2 linked regions of the Alligator mississippiensis genome follow. The protein of the gene in region 2 purifies or fractionates together with the protein of the main gene of each other region. This does not show direct contact. Links are inferred from orthologs where the notes say so. Each region holds a gene or a part of one and is shown on either strand. Other genes may lie near its edges.

Evidence for each region.
Region 1: the proteins of PIDD1 (region 2) and CASP2 purify together in Homo sapiens (affinity purification with western blotting; 5 studies listed by BioGRID and IntAct, with this or other methods). This does not show direct contact. The link is inferred for Alligator mississippiensis from reciprocal best matches to the Homo sapiens genes PIDD1 and CASP2.

Annotation. Positions count from the first base shown.
Region 1 is NC_081827.1:153,829,717-153,841,919, forward strand, and holds the start of CASP2 (caspase-2), read left to right. Parts: upstream 1-7,190; 5' UTR 7,191-7,362; coding exon 7,363-7,512; intron 7,513-12,203. UniProt on the Homo sapiens protein: Is a regulator of the cascade of caspases responsible for apoptosis execution. Might function by either activating some proteins required for cell death or inactivating proteins necessary for cell survival.
Region 2 is NC_081825.1:183,900,192-183,912,823, forward strand, and holds the start of PIDD1 (p53-induced death domain-containing protein 1), read right to left. Parts: upstream 6,188-12,632; 5' UTR 5,864-6,187; coding exon 5,767-5,863; intron 5,530-5,766; coding exon 5,446-5,529; intron 2,285-5,445; coding exon 1,916-2,284; intron 1-1,915. UniProt on the Homo sapiens protein: Component of the DNA damage/stress response pathway that functions downstream of p53/TP53 and can either promote cell survival or apoptosis.

The sequences.
Region 1 (12,203 bases), on a different chromosome or scaffold from region 2:
CAGCTTGAGGCTCATGGAACCTGGCAACTCCCAGGTCCTTCTCTGCAATAATTACAGACCAGCCAGTCATTCTCCAGGCTGTGTTTGTGCCTCTCACAGGATAGAATGAGGTTCCCTTTCGTATGTGGGTCCTATGGAAAGCCCCCCTTTGACTTCAGTGGGGAAGCATGTCAAGCCTGATTTCTACTATCTCTTGCAGGGCTTCTCGACTCAGGCACTGTAGGCATCAGCAGAGCAGGATTAATATGCACATAGCATCCCCAGTGCACTTGAATGAATCTCCAACAACAGATATACAATTTGTACATAGGTGTGTTCCTCTTTAGCATAATCACTAGTGACTCTACAGTAACAAAGTGGTGTCAACTGAGGTTTACACTTTCAGGTCCTTACAGTGAAGAGGGAAGATGTTGCTGCCCTCTACTGGAAAGTCATTTTACTAGCTCAATGTAGGGAAGGTTAATACAGTAACTGATCTGTACTTTTTCAAAGTTCCTGACAAATAGTGACAAAGCATTATTACCCACATTTTGAAGCCAAAGAAACTGAAGTGTAGTGAAGTTCAACTTTCTTAAAAGTGTCCACGTTTGATGAATGCTGCAGTTTTGGGGAACTCAAACTGAATCATAAAAGGGTATGATTTTCAGAGGTATTCAGAACCTGCAACTTCTGCTCATTCCAATTTAAGTTAGAGGAATTCAGTACTTCTTTCAATCAAGCTAAGTGCCTCAGAATGTAAGCACTCAAATTAGTAGCCTGGTTTTTTTAAATATTTGTACTGAAGTTTCCTGACTGCAGTTACAGTCTTGGCAGAAATTAAAATAGACGCCAGGCTGCTTGATTGCCTGGCAAGTAGAATGGGATGACTGCACTACCAAAAGGCCAGCCAGTTAAGCTGACATGTACAAGGTGGTCTTACATTATTTCTGAAGGGCACAGCTAGAAACGTTCAAACATGAAATAACATTTGGTGTTTTAAGAACGATGGTAATGAGCTACTAAAGCAGCTCATTGAGGGCTGTGGTAGATTCTCTATTACTTGAAGTCTTTAAATCAAGGTATGCTATAGCTTAACCAGAGCTCATTGAGTTAGATGCACTAATTACTGCAAGAAGTTCTGTAGCCTATAACTTGCAGGAAGTCAAAGGGGAAGATCATGATGGCTTTACTTGGCAGTCCTTTAGCCTCATAGAACAACATTATATTCCATCTATTAGGCACTAAGTGTCATCCTATTCCACCCTGCTCAAGGGGAAGGGGTGGGGGGGAAATAGATCCCCCTGCTTGCTGCTTTTTGTGATTTAGTCTTAAGGGTAAGGTGATTGATGATGTGTACAAAAGTACACATACCACAGATTTATAGGATCAAAAGGAAAGCAGTGCTAGAAGGGACCCAAAAGGAAAGCAGTGCTAGTTCAGCCCCCTGTTCATGGCAGGATCATTCCTAACTAAAACATTCCAGTCAAGTGTCTGCCCAACATTTTAACATTTTTTCAGTAGCCTCCATGCCAAATAGAGACACATGCTACTACCCAAACCAAAAAATATACGTGCAACCCTTGCCCTGTCTGATTGACCAGTTTGGTGCGTCAGGCAGGCTACCTGCATGCTACCTCATAGGCTGAACTAGGCAACTGAACCATGTGAAAAATGGCCTGCAGACTCCTTAGCACAACTGTAGTCTTCATGAGTGTTGCTCTGTCTGTGGCTTCTGCTGGCTTTTGACCTTAATGCCAGTCATTGACCCATGATTCATTGCCCTGGGGTCTGGCTCTTTGATGTCACGTTAGATTGCCCATATGTAAGCTGTGTAACATGACTAAGCCAAACTATATTGGAGAGGAATACATATTGTTTTAGTGGCAGGGTATGCATAAGGCAGAAAGCCATAAAGCACCGACTATGGCCATGAGGAAAACCCCAGAATAAGAACTTGTTGGCTGAGCGCAGGTTGAAAGTCTTGGGAGTTGAGAGCAAATTAATTTTCTATTAGTTGATTCCTTTTTGTTCAAGGAAACAGGACTTTGTACATCATCTTTAAATGAAAAGGATTGCGTCGAAGCTGCCTCAGTCATTAATTAATCCTTCTGTTAAACAATCTGCAGAGCCTTGAACGGTTTGGTTTAAAAGAGGTAACGTGACTAAGAAATTAATATTGACAGTGGCTAAGTGGCACTGTTGGCTCTTAGAGCTAACTGTGTAATCAGAGCAATAGAAGGCTACAGTAACATTGATTTCAAGCTTTTTGAAGATGTGGACAGACATAACTTCATGGGTTATATAACTTGTTCACACTTGTAGTTTTAGCTCTACAGCCATAAAGACTAGATACCTTGTCTTTTATATTAAGAAAGGGAATATATCCCAGTGAGCCACATAACGCTCTAATTTAAGCTATCTCCTACTTCTAGGGTGTTTCTGGATAGCCATAGCTCTAGGGCAGGAATTCAATTGCTACTTCTGCTGCTGAGTCACTCTAGTTTCCCTATAATAATACTTGCGTCATAGCAGCATTGTGAAATGTAATTAGTTAATGACTGGAAGCACTTTGAATATATAACGCTCTATAAATATAAATTATTTCTAAAAAATCCAGCCCTATGAATTTAGATTAAGAAAAATCAACTCACATTGGAAACTAACGTTTCCCTGCAATATAGTGGGTAACCATTCAGCACCACTCCATTGGGCAGCTGACTTGGTCATCTTATGAAAAGGACCAGGGCTAGAGGAAAAGGTGGCATTATTTGAACAATGGATTTTTGGAGCCTGAGGGTAGAAGAAATGAATGTGTTTCTACAAAACTAGGTGGTCTAAATGACCTTTGATAGCCCTTCTAACCTCATGATTCCATGAAAACCATAGTCCCTTTGGTCATAAGCATCTCAGGTAACATATATTGTGACTATCACACCTTGTAATTTCCAGCTGAGTGGAAAGTCTCTCCCAGAGTCCTCCCAGAATCCTTCATATTGAAATCTATCTGGGGGAGGAGTTTTAAATGCAGAGAGTAAATTAAAGACTTGTATGAAGTCAGAGAAAATAAGTCTTCGGAGTGGGTGGAAGAGTAGAACTATACAGGACCTGAATTATTTGTTTGCAGTGGGTTGCCTAATTAAAGTGAACCCATTCAGCTTTTTGCTGCAGATTTTACCTCAAATGGCTCTGTTTCTTTTATCAGCTGAAGCTCATCAGTGGTCTCATACAGTTGATTGGAGAAGTGGTCTGACTGGAGTTGACTGGAGAAGTTCCACTCAGAAATTCACTGGTTCTGTACCTAAAGTCCTGAGCTTGACCAGGAGTTTGCCCAGGAACCGGCTGAGGCAGCTTGCTCCAGGGCCATGGTTGTCATGGGTGACTTCAATTACCCGGACATCTCGTGGGAGGATTGCTCAGCAAAATCTGAGCGGTCGCAGAGCTTCCTCTTGTACGTGGATGACCTCTACCTGACTCAAGAAGTCTATGGGCCAACGAGAGGCAAAGCGCTGCTCGACCTGGTACTGGCTACTGGGGATGACCTAGTCGGCGACCTAGTGATTGATGGGAAGCTGGGTGACAGCGACCACGAGCTGATCACCTTCACCATCCGCCGAAAAGCTGGCAAATCAGCAACACGGAAGTCCTTGACTTCAGGAAAGCCGACTTTGACAAGCTCAGGAGGCTTGTCAGTGAGGCCCTAAGGGACTGTGACCACAGGGAGAGGGGAGTTCAAGAAGAGTGGTTGCTCCTCAAGGGAGTGATCCTCAATGCACAAACTAAGTCTATTGCATCTCAGAGGAAAGGCAGCAAGAGGGCACAGCAGCCCCCCTGGCTCTCCAGGGACCTAGCAGACCTCCTGAGGCTAAAAAGAAAGGCCTACAAAGGATGGAGGATGGGAGTCACCTCCAAGGAGGATTATTCTGCACTGGTCTGGTCCTGTAGGGAGCAGACCAGGAAAGCCAAGGCTGCAACTGAACTCCAGCTAGCTTTGAGCATCAAGGACAATAAAAAGTCCTTTTTCAGATATGTGGGGAGCCGGAGGAAAAGCAGGGGCAATGTTGGACCCTGCTGAACCAGATGGGGCAACTGACACTCAGGAAAAAGCCAACCTATTAAATAGGTACTTTGCGTCAGTCTTTCATCAGCCCCATGGGATGCCCATGCCCGCTACAGGGCCGGGAAGTCCGGGTGAGGGTGATCCCCTGCCCTCCATTAATGCTGACTTTGTGAAGGAACATCTTGAGAAGCTGGATACCTTCAAGTCAGCCGGCCCTGACAATCTTCACCCCAGGGTACTCAAGGAGCTGGCGAGCATCATAGCCCAGCCCCTAGCGCGGATCTTTGAAAACTCTTGGTGTTCTGGTGTAGTGCCCGAAGACTGGAAGAAGGCCAATGTGGTGCCTATCTTCAAGAAAGGGAGGAAAGTGGATCCGGCTAACTATAGGCCCATCAGCCTGACTTCTATCCCGGGGAAGATCTTAGAAAGTTTATTAAGGAGGCCATCCTTAATGGACTGGCCGACGCCAACATCTTAAGGGATAGCCAGCACGGGTTTGTTGCGGGTAGGTCTTGCTTGACCAATCTCATTTCCTTCTACAACCAGGTGACCTATCACCTGGACAAGGGAGATGAGATTGATGTCATATATCTTGACTTCAAAAAAGCCTTCTATCTGGTGTCCCATGATCGTCTTTTGGAGAAACTGGCCAATTGTCGCCTTGGGTCCTCCACGATCCACTGGCTGGAAAATTGGCTCCGGGGTTGGACCCAGAGGGTAGTAATTGTTGGAAGTCACTCATCGTGGTGTCCTGTGACCAGTGGGGTCCCCCAGGGCTCTGTCCTTGGACCCATACTGTTCAACATCTTCATTAATGATGTGGACGCTGGAGTCAGAAGCGGACTGGCCAAGTTCGCAGATGACACCAAACTTTGGGGCAAAGCATCCACACCAGAAGACAGGCGGATGATCCAGGCTGACCTGGACAGGCTCAGCAAGTGGGCGGATGAGAATCTGATGGTGTTCAATGCCGATAAGTGCAAGGTTCTCCACCTTGGGGAAAAAAAACCCGCAGCATCCTTATAGGCTCGGCAGTGCTGTGTTGGCTAGCACTATGGAAGAAAGAGACTTGGGGGTCATCATTGACCACAAGATGAACATGAGCCTGCAATGCGATGCTGCGGCTAGTAAAGCGACCAAAATGCTGGCTTGCATCCATAGATGCTTCTCAAGCAAATCCCGGGACGTCATTCTCCCCCTGTACTCGGCCTTAGTGAGGCCGCAGCTGGAGTACTGCGTCCAGTTTTGGGCTCCACAATTCAAAAAGGATGTGGAGAAGCTTGAGAGAGTCCAGAGAAGAGCCATGCGCATGATCAGAGGTCAGGGAAGCAGACCCTACGATGACAGGCTGAGAGCCCTGGGGCTCTTTAGCCTGGAAAAACGCAGGTTCAGGGGTGATCTGATGGCCACCTATAAGTTTATCAGGGATGACCACCAGTATCTGGAGGAACGTTTGTTCACCAGAGCGCCCCAAGGGATGACGAGGACGAATGGTCACAAACTACTACAAGATCGTTTCAGGCTGGACATAAGGAAGAATTTCTTTACTGTCCGAGCCCCCAAGGTCTGGAACAGCCTGCCACCAGAGGTTGTCCAAGCGCCTTCATTGAACACCTTCAAGATGAAACTGGATGCTCATCTTGCTGGGATCCTATGACCCCAGCTGACTTCCTGCCCTTTGGGCAGAGGGCTGGACTCGATGATCTTCCGAGGTCCCTTCCAGCCCTAATGTCTATGAAATCTATGAAATTGCAGCAGCTATACATACTCTCAGCTAATTCACAAACCCTCATTTTCCCAGAGGAGTTAGAAACCTATCCTTGTGAAGTATTCAACTATATATTGAACCAATATGGGCTGGAAGGCCCTGGCAGATGTTTCATTTATTGCACAAGAAAACTGTTAATCATGTGATTAATTAGATGCGACATATTAGCCAATTTATGACTTCATAAATAGCAAACCAGCCATGGAGATGTTCCATATTAAATGTGGATTGAATCACTTTAAATTGAGCACGTGGCAGGTTTTGGGACTGCTCTATGCCTGATCCCAATTAGCTGATTGTTGGGATCAGGTATAAGGCAAGGTCAGGACATGACTACCCCTACCTGATCCTTGGATCTCAAACTGGGACTGGGTACTGCTCTACATCTGATCCTGATGATCAACTGAGGGTTGGGATCAGGCAGGAGGCAGCCCTGAGATCCAAGACTTAGCTGCCCCCAGCTTGGTCCAGTTTGGCTGTGGCAGTTACACAACTGGAATCTGAGGAATTTTATGTCCCATCCCAAAAATCACATGTCCTTTCATGCATGTCTGGGATGGAAGAACATGCGATTTCAGGGATCGGGCACGAAATTCCTCAGATCCCAATCACAGCATTATATTCACATCTGCCAGGAGTCTGAGAATGCTTGAAGGAGTGGGTCCCTCACGCCCGCAAGAACAGCAAACCTCTCTTGGCAGGGAACTGAATCGGCTTAGCTAGACTTCTTACCAGACCCTCCACAGTGATGCTTTCCTTGTGAGATCAAGTCCCTTGCCTATACCAGGTAAACACCACCCCACCCTGGGGTTATCATAGACCACGTACCACCTGCCAGCCACTCTAGGGACCAGCCTCAAGGGCATTGGGGGGGAAGGGAGGACACGCTGGCAATCTACTAAATTCAAAGTCCTTGAAACGCTGCTACCATTTCTAGGACACGCGTGAGCCATCCGCATGGGCTTCGTACTCTTGTAATACCGTCTTTCTGAACTGGTTCTGATGCCTTTCGAGTAGGCTACGGCAGGGACCTCGCAGCAACGTACTGTACCGAGACCAAAGCACTGAGTGGGCATCAAACCCAGAAAACCCCTGATTCCCGGGATTTCCCAGCCAGGGGCTTTCTGTGCTTTCTTCACAGCGTCCAGTACCGCCTTCCCGCCTGCTTCCCCTCCTGCGATGCCGCAGCTAGGCCAAGGAGCAGGAGCCTGAGGAGCTGCCCGCTGCAGGCTCCTGCTCTCCCCACCCTCGCCTCCTGCTGGGTCGGGCTGCACGCGACCACTCCGCCACAAGAACAGCGGCGCACGCGTACACGGGACTCCATTGTTCCGTGCCGGAAACCGCTATGGCGGCGAAGTGGAGATTTCGCGCGCAGGCGCTCACGTGACCACGAGTTGCAGAGCTGGTTGGGCGCGGCCGCGTATGCGCGCTGATTTGACACGGGCTTTGGCAAGCGGGGCGGAAGCGCTGGGCGGGCTGGGCGCGGGGCCGTCGGGCTGGCGCACTGAGCGCTCGGAGCAGCCCCCAGTCCCGGCGCGGCGCGGGGCAGCCCGGGCCGATGTCGGGCGCGTGCGGGATGCAGCCGTGCCACCAGGAGGCGCTGCGCAGGCACCGCGTGCCCCTGGCCAAGCAGCTGGTGCTGCAGGAGCTGCTGGAGCACTTGCTGGCGCGCGCCGTGCTCACGCCGGAGATGAAGGAGGCCATCCAGGTAGGGCGGGGCCTCGGCCTCCGCTTCCCTTCCCGGGCTGCGGGACCTGGTCTGCCTCGCGGGAGCCGGCCACGGCACGGGCTAGGGCGCGGGGATGCGGCATTTCACATGCGGGCCCTTGTGAGCTTGAACTGAGAATAGAGGAGCTGCTGTTTCGTGGGTCGGGCCCCAGCTCCATCTTGCTCCGTCTCATATGGCCACCAGGGGCGCCCCCCCCCATGCTGCAGCTGGGCCAGGGAGCAGGGGCCTGAGGAACTGCTTGCTGCAGGCTCCTGCTCTCCCCACCCTCGCCTCCTGCTGGACCTACAGCCCTCTCTCCTTTGGTCCTGCCTCACGACCACTGCATGACCAGGGCCACCTGCAGCCAAAGGGGACCTCACAATGCCGCCACCAGCAATGTCTGCCTGTTAGCTGGTCTAGGAGCAACCCCTGTGTCTACCCTCCTGTGGTGGGTCCTGTGCTCCACTTCCTTTCTCCTGGTGTTTGTGATCCGCTAAGTCAGCAGCATGCTTCCCTTTCTTTTCTGCATATGTCCCTGTTGTCTTTTTGTGTTCCCCCCCACAGCTCCCCTCCTCCCCCCTGCAGTACAGCCTGCGGAGGCACCTTGCACCCCACAGCAAGCCACTTTCTTCCTTCCAGGCAGAGGAGGAGCATGCAGCTCCCTCCCTCACACCCCACCTGACTCCTTCCCACCATAGGCAGCAGAAGGCTGCGGCTAATGGGGCTTAGCCCCCCCAAACGCAGCTCCATTGCTCCAGCACCACTGGCATGCCCAGTGTACTTGCCATGCATCAGCCCCGCAACAGCCCCGAGTGAGGGGGAGGGGCATCTCTGCACTACTTCTCCGCATCCTGCCATGCACTCGCAACCCCAGCACCCACATAATATTTTCTCCTGCGACCGCTGCTTCCAACCTAGCCTCCCATGATATGGCAAGAGTCCCTTGAGGGAGCTGCCAATATGCTGGGGAAGACCCTGCAGGGGCAGGGGTTTCCCCACTGGCCAGTCTCTCTTCGAGGGGGGCCATGGAGCCCCCAAGCCCAACCAGGGCAGGGGAAAGGGCAAGGGCTCCTCTTCTTCCTCCTCCACAGGGGGTGGGAAGAGTAAAGGGCCTACAAAGAAAGTCCAGTTAGCAACACTTGCAGGTGCCCCTCCCACTCAGTCTTCCTTCATCTCTGCAAGCAGGGCTGCTCAGCTCAGCAGTTGGAGCTATTCCTAGGTGGCTGCAGGGAAGCTTGCAGCCTCGGAGCCTGGGCCCTCTTCCACTTCTGCCCACACATCCTCAGGCAGTTGGGGTCCCCTCCCCAGCATCAGCAGGCACAGTGGGGTGCACTGCGACATGCCTGAGATTAAGCCACCACCGTTTGAGAACTATGTGAGCTCACTCAGGCAGTGGGGGCCCCTGGAGATTGACAGTCTCCAGATACTACCGCAAGGTTATCATTTACCTTGCCATGGAGGCTGCCATACAGGAAGCGGCAGAGAAGAGGTTTGCAGTGTGGGGGGGAAAGCGTGTCCCACTCAAGCCCCTGGAGGAGCTGGGAACTCGGGTGGTCTTCAGCCCCACCCCCTTACGTCCCTAATTGGGCCCTCATGCCCTTCCTGCAAAGCCTGGGGAGAGTTCTATCCCTGGTCACCACTCTCCTGCTGGGGTGCCAGGACCCCAACCTCCCCCCACATCCAGTCCTTCCACCACCTTCAGGTGCTGTATGCCTCTGCATAGTGTATGGTCAAGTCACCATCCAGCTGGAGGTGAAGGGGGGACCTTTATTGTCTCCTTCCAGGGGTCCCTCAACCACATTAACTATATGGTGGTGGAAGTTAGGTACTTCTGGTACTGGGTACTGGGGCACCTCTGCCAAGAATGTCCCCTCAGTTAGCGATGGGGGGCACCACAGCACTCCCACCCCCCAAGCAGAGAGGTACCACCACCACTGGCAACCCAGCCCTAGCATCCAATCCCTTGGCAAGCTCAGGAGACACCCCCCCCCCCCCCCAATGCCACAGCCACCAGTGGGGTCCCAAAGCAGGGAGGGGGGCACACCAGCCCCCACCACTGCTACTCCCTCCTAGCCCCACGATACTTCCAGCATCTCAGGAAGACCCCTCCTCAGGCCACCCTGAGGCTGGCTGGGTGCTGGTCCCACATGGGTGGTGATCTACCATCCATTGCAAGGTAAAGTGCAAAGCCCAGACGCAGCTTGGGCCCTCCAGTATGAAGGAGGCTCCCCCTCCCACCATCCAAGAGGAGGGCTGACATTGATGTTATACCCACCACCTCCCGAGCTGCACCAGGAATCCCACCTCCAGGAAAAATAAAAAAGATAACTGTTACCAACATGGAAGAGGGCCCAGGATGGCAAGGCCATCCTATGTTAGATTAGCCTATGGAGAAGACTCCCTCCCCCCAACTCAGCCGGCTTTGACCTGCCCCCAACTACTACAGGCACTGGACCTCAGCCCCAGCCACCCTGGGGCAGGTCTGATGGCAGAGACCCCCACTCCGACCACCTGGGGGAGATGGGAGTCCAGGGGCTCGTGCCAGTGGGCCCCGATGGGGAGGATTCCCTTCCCCAGGACTATGGGGAGGGCACCAATGCCACCCAGGTGCGTGAACCATCTTGACAACACCACCACCTTCACCTTTGTCAGGGTGGAGGAGTAACGGATACCCTGAATTGTTGAATTGAATCTACTCAGTTGAATTGAATCTACTGGTCCATGCTAAATACCGCCCAGGTCCATGCTAAATACCGCCCAAGTCCATGCCTCCAGCACTAGGCTGGCCCCCTTCAGTGACCATCATCTGGTATGCACTCAGGTTACTCTGCAGCCTGAGCATCCAAGGCTGGCTTCCTGGCATTTTAGCAACAGCCTGCTGGAAAATGTGGTCTTTGGTCACCTTCCAGGAGTTCTGGCTGGCCTGGTGCAGGCAGCGGCAAGCATTTCCCTTGACCCAGAGATGGTGGGACATGAGGTAGGTTTGTGTCAGGCAGTACTGTTGCTTCTACATCGGGGGCGCACCTAACAGCTGCTAGAGAGCAGCTCAAGAGGGAAGTTCAGGAGCTGGAGAATTGCCTGGTTGCTGACCCAAACTATGCATCCCTGCGTGGAGAGTGTTGAGAGGGGGAAGGAGCTTTGTGCTCTGCATGACTGCTGCACCTGCGGTGCATTCATCTGCTCACGCATCAAGCTCCTTTGGGAGGTGGACTGGACTGTGGCTTCTACTGCTTCTGTGCTCTAGAGAAGAGGAGGGGTGCCAAGAGGTACATCACTTGTCTCCTGACGGAGGATGGCACCTACCTCATGGACTCTGGTGAACTGCAACGAAGGGTGAGGGCTTTCTATGCAGAGCTCTTCTCATCATATCTGGCCAATGCTGATATGGCTGCCAGGTCCTGTGGGAAGGTACTGCCATAGGTTTTCCTGGTCAACCAGGACTTGCTCAAGTGTCCTGTCACCCTGGCCAGGCTCTTGGATGCTTTCCATCTGATGCCCACCAACAAAGCTCTGGGCATTGACAGACTGACTGTGGAGTTCTGCTGTGCCTTCTTGGATGTCCTCAACCCAGACCTAGCTGGGGTTTGGGCTGTGTCTGAAAGGGATGGGGAGCTCCCCCTGTTGTGAAGGAGGGCTGTCCTGACCCTGCTGGCTAGAAAAAGGGACCCTCTTCCCTCAACCTGAGGAACTGGCACGTAGTTTCACTTCTCTCTGCAGACTGCAAGGTCATAGCAAAAGCCATTTCGCTGCACCTGAGATATGTGTGGGTGAATGTGACCAGATGTAAACAGTTCCAGGGAGCTCCATCTTCAGCATCCTGTACCTAGTGCAGGATCTCCTCAAGCTTGCTTGTAGGGACAGCCTGTCATTTGCCTTCCTGTCCCTTGACCAGAAGATGGTGTTTGACAGGGCGGATCTTGGCTACCTCACAGGCATGCTGAGAGGGTGTTTGGCTTTGGTCCCTGCTTCATTTGGTTTCTCCAGGTGCTGTACACCTCTGCAGAGCGTATGGTCCAGCACAACTGGATACTGATGGAGCCCATCCCATTCAGCTGGGGAGTGCATCAAGGCTGCCCGCTGTAAGGCTAGTTCTACCATTGCCCTCGAGCCCTTCCTCTGCCTCCTGCGCAAGTGGGTGGTGGGGCTGGTGCTTGAGGAGCTTCCCACGAGCATGGTTCTGTCAGCGTATGCCAATGTGTTCCAGAGACATGGCCACTCTGAACTACACGCACAGTCACTGCCAACATGGAGCTGATGCCGGAGCTGTAGAGCCTGCCTGCTGCTTGATTCAGCTGCCCAGAGCCCAGGCAGGCTACAAACAGCTGCACTGGGCTCCAGAGCCTGCTGGTAGCGGGGGAGAGACTGGAGTTGCACTGCCTTGGGCCCTTCCCGCAGCCTGCTCCAAGTCATGTGTGCACGTGCCAGTACAGAGCTGATGCTGGAGCCTGGCCCAGCTGTTTGCAGCCTGCCTGCTGCAGTGGCTCAGAGCCCAGGCTGGCAACTAGCAGCTGCTGCAGGCTCCAGAGCTCAGTCATCAGCTTTGTGCCGGCAGCAGGGGAGAGGCTGGGGTTGTGCTGCCTCAGGCCTGTTTCCCCCTCCCCCCCCCACAAGGCACGCGTGCAGCTGGTTGCAGACTCCTGGCTGCAGCCAGCCCCAGCTCTGGGTAACTGCTGTCAACTACGGAGCCGGGC
Region 2 (12,632 bases):
ATGTCCTTTTCTCCGATGTGGACAAAAGGCTGTGTTGCCTCTCAAGAATGCTACCACAAAGTTTATTTTAAAGCTCATCAGTTTATACAATGACCCCATCCCGTCACCCCAACTCCCCACATCTTCTCTGTACTCACTGCCTCTTTCTCTATCACAGTGGTACTCAACCTTTCAACCCTATGGGCTGGATGCGTAGCACAGGACCAGTCCACAGGCTGGATCAGGCTCCGCGTGCCAGGACTGGGCCCCTCACCACCTCTGTCCAGCTCTTTGCCAGCCCAAACAGCCCCATGCTACCCTGATCAACAGCACCTTGACCCAATTAGCCATGCACCATCCCAATCAATCCCACACTGCCCCAGTCAATCCCACACCACCCTGATCAGCCCCAATCAGTCGCACGTCACCCTAGTTAACCAGATCAGCCCCCATGAGCCCCACATGCCCAATTCAGCACATGGGCCCACACCATCTGCCCCATGGAGCTCCCCACAGGTCCAGAAATTTGGCAACTGGGGAACGGCAGTTAGATGCCACTGCTTCCCCACTACCAAATGTTCAGATCATGAGGATATCCATGTGCTGGATCTGGTCCATGCACTGAGGGCTGAGCACCCCTGCTCTATCACATTAAATAAGCTGCTTGTCTGCACTTTCAAGGCCCTTCCTGGCATCCTCAAAGGATTTCTGGCTGGTTTGTGATTTAATAAGGCAAGTGATACACCCAGAAAAAAAAGTGTTAAAAAGCAACATGCGAGTCAAGCTCAGCCTTCAAAAAATATACCAGTATCCTCCGTACTCCTTTCTTCTGCCATCCCTATGTGAATGTTTACATCGTAGGATACCGGAGGATTTTTGTTATACAGTGGAAGAAAGATTACTTGGGAAACCCTGGATTAGCAAAGTAACAAATAACTGGTTTACTAAGAGGCATATAAAAACATACTAATTATTTGTTACTTTGCTTCTCTCCTCAGTATTAATATTTATTGTGTGACACAGGAGAAAAACCCTCTGGTACACACTCTGTTGTGCTGCAAGATGCTTGGTTATCCATAGGAAAATGTTGTCATCTCCAGGGATGGGCTGTCATCTATAGACAAGTGGTGTCATCTGATGGAGAACCAAGAAATTAAGTCATTTGCCCACAGTCACATACAAAGTCTGTGGTAGAACAAGGGACTAAGTCCCTGACCCACATTAACTACTGGGCTGCCCTTTTGTCATGGAAGTATCTATGTGTTTCCCTTCTGAGAGCCGGGTGGTTCAATATTGTTAAAGGTTACTAGGCACATTCTTGTAGCGTACAGATCCCCAAACCAAAAATAATACAAAAGTCAACAGATGTTTCTCTATATATTTTTAAGCATTATCAGACCACAGGCTCCAAATCATATATATGCACATCCTCACTGATATTTTTTGTGCTCCGGGTAAAATGACAAGAACCCCCTTCTGCAAATGCAGCTGACCTTCCTTGAACCCTCTTCCCCATGTTATGCTAATGCCATTTGGTTTATGATCTGGCCAGAAAACCAGAACAGAATGAAATCCAGTGAAAGGGACTGTTACGCTTTCAAAAAAAGGGAGATGAGAAGGGAGGAAAACAAGTGACCATACATTCTAACATCTTCAGATCAGACTCTCTTCAACTGAAGCTCCCCCCAACATCTCATTTCAAGTGACTTTACAATAAAAGACTGCACCTGTCAGACTGAATCAAGTCAGGAAATTGGTCCCCGGGCACTGTGGAAACAAAGGAAGGGCGTAAATGTCCTTAAGCTGCATCTTGCTGAAATCTACCATTTGTATGCAGCTCCCAACCAGCTCAGCTGAGACCTGGAGCCACTGCAAAGGGCAGCTAGTGCACAGTGAAAATTGAAAGTCCATTTGTCCTGCAGATGCGCAGGCTTACCTTTGAGGACCAGGGATTTCAGGGTCCTCAGGGCAGGCAAGATGGCCAGCGTGGAGATTATGAGGTCCTCGTTGCAGTTCAACCGCAGGAACTCCACCTGAGTCACTTCCTTCCTTTGCTTGTCAAACAGGTCAAGAAACTGGTGACAGCCGTCAGGATAAACGTCCAGGTTAAGCCTGTTGCCTGCAAGGCGAGATCCATCCAGCTCGGGAGCCACCAAAATGCCCTCCCCCAAACCATCCCCAGGCTCTTGCAGCTTGGCCATCTTCTGCTGTCGGTCTGCTGGGGACCAAGCATGTTCTGACTTGCCAGGCGGGCAAGCACTGGCAGCACCACTGCAAGGCAGCCGTGAAAAGGAGACAGGAGGCTCTGAAAAAAGAGGACAAAGCACTCAGTGAAGCCCTGTACATATGGGCACTGTATTTATTTCACCACAGATTGACAGAAGAAGGGGGGGTGGAATAGCCACCAAGAAAGCATTCCCTCCCTTTAGACAGAAAACAAAGCCACCTCCAAGAATTTCATCGGTGTAGTCACCCAGGCAAAAAGAGACTTTAATCAGATAATGATGAATACCGAAAGGGTCACATCTTAGGTTAGCAGATCTCAAAGTACTTGGCAAAGGAGGATGGTATCATTGTCCCCAAAATACAAATTGGGGATACTGAGGCACAGAGTGATGGAGAGATACGCCCAAGGTTAACCAGTAGACCAGTGGCAGAATTAGGACTGGACCCCCTCAGCCCTGTCTTCAGTCTACAGAGTGATGGTGCATGGCTGTGCAAGTAGGAGCAAGGCCATGCGGGTCAAGCCAAGCCATGTCAGGCCAGAGAAGATGACACTAAGTAAGCCTGAAGCTGAAGCGTACCAGAAAGAAGAGCTACTGGCACTCCTCTGGATCATCCAAGGAATTAAAGGGAGATTTGGGAGATAGTTTCATAGTTTGTAGGGTCAGAAAGGACCTTGACAGATCATCAAGTCTGACCCCTTGCCATGGCAGGAAAGAGTACTGGGGTCAAACGACCCGGCAAGGCATCTATCTAGCCTCCTCTTAAGGACCCCCAGGGTAGGAGCCAGCACCACTTCTCTTGCAAGTTGAGTCCAGATCCTAGCTGCCCTGACTGTGAAGTAGCACCTCCTGATGTCTAGCCTGAATCTACCCTCTGCCAGCTTGTGACCGTTATTTCTAGTCACTCCTGGTAGTGCTTGGGGGAACAGGGACTCCCCCAATGCCTGCTGGTCCCCTCTGACTAGTTTGTAACAGGCCACTAGATCCCCCTTCAGCCTTCTCTTGTGGAGGCTGAACAGGTTCAGGTCCCTTAGCTTCTCCTTGTAGGGCCTGCCTTGCTGACCCCGATCATGCGAGTGGCCCTCCTCTGGACCCTCTCAATGCTGTCTACATCCCTCCTGAAGTGTGGCACCCAGAACTGGACGCAGTACTCCAACTGCGGCCTGACCGGTGCCACAGAGAGGGGGAGGATCACCTCCTTGGACCTGCCTGAGATGCATCTGTGGATGCATGACAAGGTGTGGTTGGCCTTCCTGACCGCGTCCCCACACTGTTGGCCCATGTTCATTTTGGCATCAATAATGATTCCAAGATCCTTTTCTGCCTCTGCACTGACAAGAAGGGAGTTCCCCAGCCTGTAGGTCTGCTGCGGGTTCTTCCTCCCCAGGTGCAGCACCTTGTACTTGTCAGTGTTGAAATCCACCCTGTTCTCATCCGCCCACCTCTGTAACCTGTTTAGGTTCAATTGCAGTCTATTCCTCCCTTCTAGCGTGCCCACATCCCCGTGTCATCTGCAAATTTGAACAGGGTGCTTTTTACCCCCTTGTCCAAGTCACTGATGAAGATGTTGAATGGTGCAGGTCTGAGGACCAAGCCCTGGGGGACCCCACTGCCCACATCCCTCCAGGTTGAAAATGACCCATCCACCACCACTCTCTGGGTGCAGCCCTCCAGCCAGTTAGTGACTCATTTGACTGTGTAGGTGTCGATACCACAGTCCCCTAGTTTTTTAATGAGAATGGGGTGAGAGACAGTCTTGAAGGCCTTCCTGAAGTCCAGAAAGACTACATTCACTGCTATCCTACGTCTAAGAATTTTGTGACCTGGTCGTAGAAGGCCACCAGGTTGGTCTGACAGGACCTGCCTCTAATGAACCCATGTTGGTTGCCCCTAAGCATAACTTCCCCTGCGGTCCCTCGTGGACATGCGCCAGGATAACTCTCTCAAAAAGCTTTCCCAGGACTGAGGTAAGACTAACTGGCCTATAGTTTCCTGGGTCCTTCTTCCTTTCTTTTTTGAAAATGGGAACCACATTGGCCCTTTTCCAGTCCTCCAGCACCTCACCAGAGCACCACGAGTGCTCGTAGAGCTATGCCAGAGGTCCCACAATGACCTCTGCTAATTCCCTCAGCACTCTGGGGTGGGTCGTCAGGACCAGCTGATTTAAATACATCCAGTCTCTCCAGAAGTTCCTTGACTAGATCCTCACTGACCCTGGGCCTGGGTGCACCTCCACCGGGGCCTGCGGGGGTCCCGGCGGACGGGCTGATTTGGTCCCTGTTGAGGAAAATGGAGGCAAGATGCTAATGCCAGAAAGGCCTGGCAGGGACTGAGGGAATATAGTGGTTGGGAATGAGCCCAGCAGGATGTTGCATTGGGAAGGACCAGCTGCAGGAGACTGCATGCCAGCAGACCCTGGAGCATCTTGTTTCTGAGCAGCACTATACCCCATCAGCAAGACTCTCTCCTCACAAGGACCTGCGCGCTGATAACAGAAGATGTGGTAGGGGAGTCAAGGATAGAAACTGGGAGTGAGACAGAAGTTTGACTTCTGTGGTGGCCATATGGACTGCACCGCACCTGAAAAAGGGGGCTGGGGTGCGTGGTCAAGCACTCAAATGGATGCTCTTTGTGCAAATGAGGAGTGCCTTCAACTGCTACTGAAACACATGAAGCAACATCCATTTTTTTAAGTATCAATATCTTGCAAGGACCGCAGCCAAGAAGCACAGATGTGGTCAATAAAAACCCAAGTTCCAGCCTGGAAGCAGACAACAGACAGAACTTTTTCCCTCCCATCAGCAACCTACGTAATTCTTAAAGGGAGAAAAATGAATAAGGACAACACAATATGGTCTACTATTACAGTAAGGGATAATGTACAAGGATTCATGCAATATTCTTACGTGGACTCTCTACTCCTTTGCTGCATAATAGGAAATAAACATTTGCTTAAAATGTGCAGAGACAAAGGAGGGGAAAAAATCTCAGTTTATGCACTAGCAGGTAGCAGGAAGAGCAGTGGAGGCCACGCACACAGCCTTCCAGGATAAGAAGGGCTTGACAAGAGTCTGCTTACTGTGATAGTGGACAGTATCATATTATCCTCATTCATTTTTTTTCCTTTAAGAATTACGCAGGTTGCTGAAGTGGGAAAAAAGTTCTGTCTGTTGTCTGCTTCCAGCCTGGAACCTGGGTTTTTACTGACCACATTGACAGTATGAACTGAAAGAAAGCTCACCTTTACAGCCTCCTTCATTTGTATAGTCCGTTATCCCAGTCAAAGTGAATGTAAAAGGCAGCAGGCTGTTCTCATCTGACAACCCTAGGTTTTGGAGGGGGCAGCATCATTTACCCATTTGCAGCAGAGGAGGAAATGTCATACAGTGAGCCCCAGTGGTCACCCACCAAAGCAGGGGCAGAGTCAGGAGTGCAACCCAGCCCTCTGCTGTCTAATGCTCCAGCCACTGAGGCCCCTGCCACCCATTACATACATTCTGCAACCAATGGGTGAACCCCGCAATAAATTTAGACTGGTCACCCATGCAAAGAAAGACCATACCGGAAAAACATCCATCCAGCTGTGAAGAGAGCCACCCAGCTACGAAGCGAGGGCTTGAAAATGTGCGACAACTTCGTAGCTGGTTTCTATCTGGCATTCATTTGAATGTGTGGCAGGGCCCCAAATGACACTGCCGCTCCAGGGCACTTGGGGCACAAGCCATGGCATCGTCCCTGAGCTGCCCTGGGGGTGAAAGTCCCAGAAGCCCAGAATGACAGACTCCCGGTGGGGGGGGGGGGGAGGGGAGGCAGCCCCCAACACCTGGCACTAGAGGAGGGGGAAAAAGACAGGGGCGGGGGAGGAACTCTTAGATCCACACACACGCACACACAGATCCAAGACTGCAGCCTGCCCCTTCTCCTTTGCACGCACACACATCCAAGATCAGAGCTTGTTCCCCTGCACACACCCCCAAGATCACAGCCTGCCCCTTCCCCCCTTACACACACACACACACACACACACATACACGCAAGATTGCAGCTTGCCCCTTCCCCGCTTCCCCCCAAGCCTACTGTGCGCGGGCCGATGCAGCAGGGAAACCTCCCCTTCCGCCCAGCAAACTTTACAACAAGTTTGCTAGCCGGGAAGCGGCGCGGGGTGGGGGGCGAGCCAGGCAGGCCGGGTCCCGGGGGCAGGAGGAAGGAGCGATCCCCCTGCCCCGTCGCCCTGCGGGAGCACGTGGGCGCGGGCCGGCCGTGGGGCTCTTACCGGGTCCGGCCGCCGGCGCGCCACTGATCCGAGCCCGGCCCGGCCCCGGGACAGGCCCTCCCTTGGCTTAAAGACGCAGCCCCGCTCAAGTGCATCTCAATCAGGGGCTCCGGAGTGCGGCCAAGGTCATAGCACGACAGGAAAGTAGGGCTGCGAGGGACCTCATGAGACCATCCAGTCCAGCCCCCTGCTCAAGGCAGGATCATCCCTGACTAGGCCATAAGCGACCCCCTAGGGAACTAGTGTGCTGGCCATTTGAACAGAGAAGACTGACCGTGCCCCACTCCCACCTCGGCAGACACTACAGTCCAGGATCAGCAAATGGGACAAAACAGGCTGATGGAAGAAGACGGTAGAGTTGGGAAAGAGGTGGCAACTATTAAATAAAGATGGGCAGAAAAGGAGATCTTGAAACTCCAGGCAACCCAACCAAGTACACACATGCTCCAGGCTAGGAAGGGACAAGAGGGTTTTAAACAAAAAACATTTTGGGGGGGATTGGCCTCTGATCTGCTGGCCACCTTCTCCCTGTTGTGCCAGGGGGAGGAGGATGAGGGGCTGTGGAGCTGCTAGCTGCTCCTGGGAGGGAAGGGGCTCAAAAGAACCCCTCTTGCGTGGTTTGAATGTGCATAGACAGGTGATTCTCAACCAGAGTGGTGGTAGTCCCTGGGGTGCCTTGAGAGCCTTTTAGGGGTGCTCCAGGGTACCACTGCAAGGTATGCAAGCATGCCCCAAGACATAAACCTGGAGATTTCAGGCAGGAATTTAGCAACAAAAACACTGTGATCCATTGTGGTGGTTCCAGGTTCTTTGCAACAGAAGGATTGCTGTTATTTTTCTGTGAAAAATGAGTGAAAACCAAGAACTGGCCTTTACCAAGAGTCTAAGGAGAGATGCTCTGAGTCTAAAAAGGTTGAGAACTACTGATATATGGGTTGCTGCACATACACAGAGGAATTTTCTTACAGAATTCTAGGACTGGAAGGGACCTCAAAGGCTATCTAGTCCAAACCCCTGTGCAGATGTAGGATGTGCTGTCCATAAACCATCCTACACATATCCCATGGAGCCACTACCTGAAAAGTTCCCAGAAATTATATTCCTGAGATGTGATCCCCATCTCCTTTGCTGCTCATAATAATACATCAATTACATTCATAAAGGCATTTTGATGTACCTCTGTTGGTAGCACTGATTATTATTGTTGCTCTGTTGGCCTAAATGGTTAGTCAAAATGTGGTGTCTATTCAGGCTACTTTTGGTAAAAGGACATATTTTTCTTCTTCTTTGGCAATCCCTTACAGTCGAAGATGACAGTCTTCCATGACTGTCTTACTGTGTGTCCGAAGATGGCTGATGAGACCCATCCTGGATCAACGGACTTTATTGCAGCTCAGACATGTGTTTCTGTGTGGGGTGGTTGGTGCTAGATTTTTTATTTGGTCCACAATACGCTGTTTCTGCTGCTCCCACTTCTCCATCTCCTGTTGTCGTTGTGAGGTTTCAAAGTACTGAGATCCCTGCAGCAGACTCTTCCTCTCCTTGGGGCGGTCCTGGGCGATAGTCTCCCATGAGTTGACACTGATGCTGCATTTTTTTAAGTTGGCTTTGAGGACCTTCCCTGAAGCACTTTCTCTGTGCTCCTCTTGAGTGTATACATTGGCTGAGCTGGGATATATCAATCAGAAATGGCTTTAGTGTAATCATGTTTAGAGACAATGGATATGCACAAAGTAGAACACAGTAGCAGCAAAACACAGCTGGTGGTTTGTGTGTTCAGAAATTCAAGCATGTTCAAGCATGTGCCCAAAAGAAGCTGTGACCCCAGTTCCTCACAAGGCTGTGTACACAACAGCTTCTCTCACGATCAGCTGGTTTCCTCTTGGCTCTTGGTCTCTCTCTCCTACGGGCACAGTCAAACTCCTAATCTTCTAACCCCTCTGTTTATAACCAATCCCAGGAGCATCCCTAAAACCACCTAAGTTTACTCAGGCTCTGCCCAGGGTCCTTCTGCCTTTGGTGATGGTCTCCTATTGTTTCCTGTTATCATAACATAAATGTGTATAACTGTTATTTCCACTTAACTTGAATGAAGGGTAGCTGGCCTACCAATCAGATTTGGCCAGCTCTGTGACTGATAGCAACCATTATCATCATCTCCTATTATTTACTGCCAAAAAAGGCCCAGCCAGGATCAAAGCTCTGTGGCATTAATAAATGCTGTAATAAATACGTCGTCAAGCATGGTCCGTGCTCTGATGTAATTTAATTCTCTCTTCTAATCAATAAGCCACATGAATGTACTTGTCAGGATGTATAGACTTCAGAGTGGTCTGAATAATCCTATATAAATGTGTTGTGACATTCATGTGGTGCAATAGTAGGTAGGGTGAATGTTAGCATCCATCTCTGAGTAAGGATGGAATAACGAGTGCAACAGGAGCAACTAGAACCCAGCCATTTGCTGGATGGTAATAAATATGTGGATGATTTCTGGTGAGTTGGACTGATCGTTCAAGGAAAAGGTGTGGTGCTGGGCTGATAAAGACAATGTATTCACATGGGTGGTAGCATTCTGACAGTGTTGAGTAAGGCTGCCTGGCAGAAGCTAAATCACAGTGACTATGGAGAGCTGCAATGTTTTGAACTCTGTGGCTGTGATAAATCATGTGTTTGGTTTCTGTGATAGGAGGCTTGGGTCTCCATCCAGCAGCAAGGGCTCTGCAGACAGAATATCTCTTGGCTTAAGTGGGGTTATGTAGGAATGTAGCTTCCTTCAAGATTTTAGTGTCTAGTAGTTGTTTGGTTTTTTTTTTGAAAGACGGACAGCATCCCTGTAGGCTGTTATTTAGGCTGACTACATGGCTTACATCCCTGAGTGCATCTGCTTTTGAAAGTGGACTTGGAAAAATGCAGTCTGCTGGACATAACATTCAACTTCTGGTATTTATTTAGGTGTAAACAACTCATCTATCGGTCCACTAGCAAATCCTCAGTATACAACGGTAAAAAAATTGCTTCTCTATATCTTAATAATACAAGGCCTGATACTGCAGTCATTGAATTTAGTATCACTAGAATTCCTTTCTATATAAATAAATCAATAAGGCTCCTGGTGGCACAGCTACAGTTAAAGGCCATGCTGAGAAGTCAAAAGAGCTGAATTTAAGTTTGTCCTTATCTAGTTACTATGTAGCCTTGAATGAGAAAACAGACTCACATTTTCACCACTTCGTAGGATCTTAATACCCCTCCTTCTATTCTCTCACTTGCTATCTTGATGATTCAAGATGCTTGCTGCTAAAAAAAAGCCCCACAAAACTTGTTCTATTCCAAAAAATGCATATATAAAATTGTTACAATCTTCCCAGTGAGACCTTATTAATTCACTGGTCAAAATAATTGTTGCTCTTAGCTTGCAGAGCTAACTCAGTTCAGATAGTGGTGGCTAGAGACTATCCTAGCTTGCATCAGTTGCAGAATTGAGAATTAAATTCCAATAGCAGGGACAAATCACACAAATAGCACGGACGTAATGGTGAGAGCTGACAATAGGATTTTATTGCTGACAATTTATAATCCAGGAAGAAACTCTGATTGCAGCCTGGATTTGTAGGGCTAGCATTTAGAAAAAAATACTTGACTGTATTTTAAATGTGTGAGATATGGGCAAATTATAGCTAGTTAAAAACCAAATTCCAAGAAAATTATTGAGAAAACAAATGTTTTCTTTTCTGTTTCCATTTTTCTATTAAGAATTTTAAAGCTGAAATCTCTGTGGGGGGAGTGGGTGGTATCTCATTTCAGTGGGCTTAAAAGAAACTATTTCCAATAAAAAAGTAATTGCTATTTTTAAAACCTATTTTTAAGACACCCAAATCCTATTCAGAAAAAAATAGTTCTAACTTCTTCAAAACAGTCTCTGCTCAATATTTGGTTTTGAACAGTTTTAATCACAAGAACAGTCATGCAATCTATTGTTTTTTTTAATCAACTACTCTTCAAGCTTATGACTTAAATGGGGGGAAAATGTGACATTGATCAGTACGTCTCTGTTCCTCTGCGTGAAGACTAGGCTTGAGCATTTCAGTACAAGGTATTGGAGTCCAGATATCAAATGCATTGTCCCTGCAACTCTCATTTGGGTCACGACCTGAGGTTGAGAACCACTGCTCTAGGTGGAAAGGAATCAGAAAGCTAGAGATAGTCTAATGTACAGGCCAATTCCACCCCCTCCCCCTTTTTAATTATTTATTAACACAAACACATAACCAGAACAAAACACAGATGTAAAGAACAAAGTAAGAAGCGCACATTTTGGGGTACAAGCTGTGTGACTGCCTACTTAAACCAGTGAGGCTCAAGCCGGGTGCTGCAATGCCTTGAGATCCTTTCAAGGGAGATGCAAGGTGCTACACCATGTGAGCACTCAGGCGTGCAAACGTGAGTCACAAGATAAGCCCCCAAATAGGAATCCTGTAGCATTCACGCCATTCTGCCCTGCTGTGGGTTTTCCAAGCTCACTGCAGCAGAACGGTACCGTTATTTTTCTGCAGCCAAAAACCGAGTGAAAGCTGAAAGCTGGCGTTTTCCGAGGGGCACCTGGAGTCTTTTGAGGGGCACTTCAAGTCTGAAAAGGTTAAGAAGCACTGGCCTAAACACTGCAGCGACTTCCCTCCAGGTCCCTGACCCTCAGGTCATGCTGAGGAGGGGGACCGGAACGCTGTTTCCATTTCTGAACAGATATGACATTTCCCTATAACCCAATAGCCTTTTGTTTATTAAATTGGAAGGAAACCCCCCCGTAAGGAATTTCTCCTACAAATGTGGCACCTGCCTCTTGCAGGAAAGCACCTGTGCGGGTTTCACAGATCCTCCCAGCCAGGGGCTGGCTGGTGTCTGCAGAGAAGCAGCAGAGGGTGTGCACCCACATACAAACAGGCACTTAAGGCACCTAGGTAACTACTTCATACCCCAGCAGCCCGCTCACTAAAGGGCGAGGCATCTAGCACCACACACACGCTATAACTTCTCCCCCATAGAACAGGCATCATAGCCTCACCTCTAGTGTCATGGCCGCTAGAACACCTCGTCCTCTCATTGGCTGCCTGGCTTTCGCCGCTTTGCCCAATGGCGGCGTGGCTTGTTGAGGAGTGACGGGAAGAATTCTCCCTACTCGCCCTTCCCTTTCCCTTTTCACCGCCGGCCTGGTACGGCAAGCACACGCTGCTGGGCCCAGCTCCTGTCCGAACTCCCTTTCCCGCCCTCGGTCAAGTGAGTGTGCGAGCCCGCTCCCCCCCATATCCTATAGTGGGCGCGCCCAGAACCCCCTCTCGCTAGTGCCGTCAGTGGGGAGCGAGGCCTGGGCGAGACCATGCGGGGGGGGGGGGGTAGCAGCCACGTGCTCTCCCAGCCTCCCTGCCTCACGGCCCTGGGAGGGGGCTGTAGTGGGGAGGAGAGGGGCAGGAGGGGCGTGGGGGTATTACTACGCTCCCCCTTACACCCCCACCAAGAACGGCCGCTTCTCCCCCACTGCAGGGGACTGGATGAGGGGTGCAGCCTGACACAGCAGAGCCTGTCAGCATAGCACTTTAATGCCCAGTAGCCTATTGTACTGTGCATTAAAGCGTCACATAAGAAATGTGCGATTGCACTAATGCATAGTACAGTAGGCTATTGTGCATTAAGCATCACTTAAAAACTGCACGTTTGTTACTGTGCATTAAGGCAGCTTAATGCGCACTTGTTTGGTACCTCAGGAGGTACTAAATTTAATGTCCATTAGGAAAAGCACTTCAACACACGTGTAGATGCTCCCAGTTTTTTCTTCTCCAGACTAAATATGCCCAGTTCCCTCAGCCTCTCCTTATAAGTCATGCCCAGCTCCCTAATTTCCCTCTTGCCGTAACGTGCCTGCTTGCCAGCTCGTGTGAGGCTGACATTTGTGTCCTAGGCTGTCGGAAAATGGGAACCTGAGGCAGGTGGCCTGGTTTACCGATGCATTTGCCAGGGGCTGGATGTCCTGCTGTACCTGCTTTCTTCTTGGAAAGTTTTTATGTTCCTAAGTATGTAGAAATCACAGAGGTACTAAGGAGCAGTGATTTAGACCTGACTCCCTTCCCCTCCTGAAATCACATGCACACCACAGTCAGCCT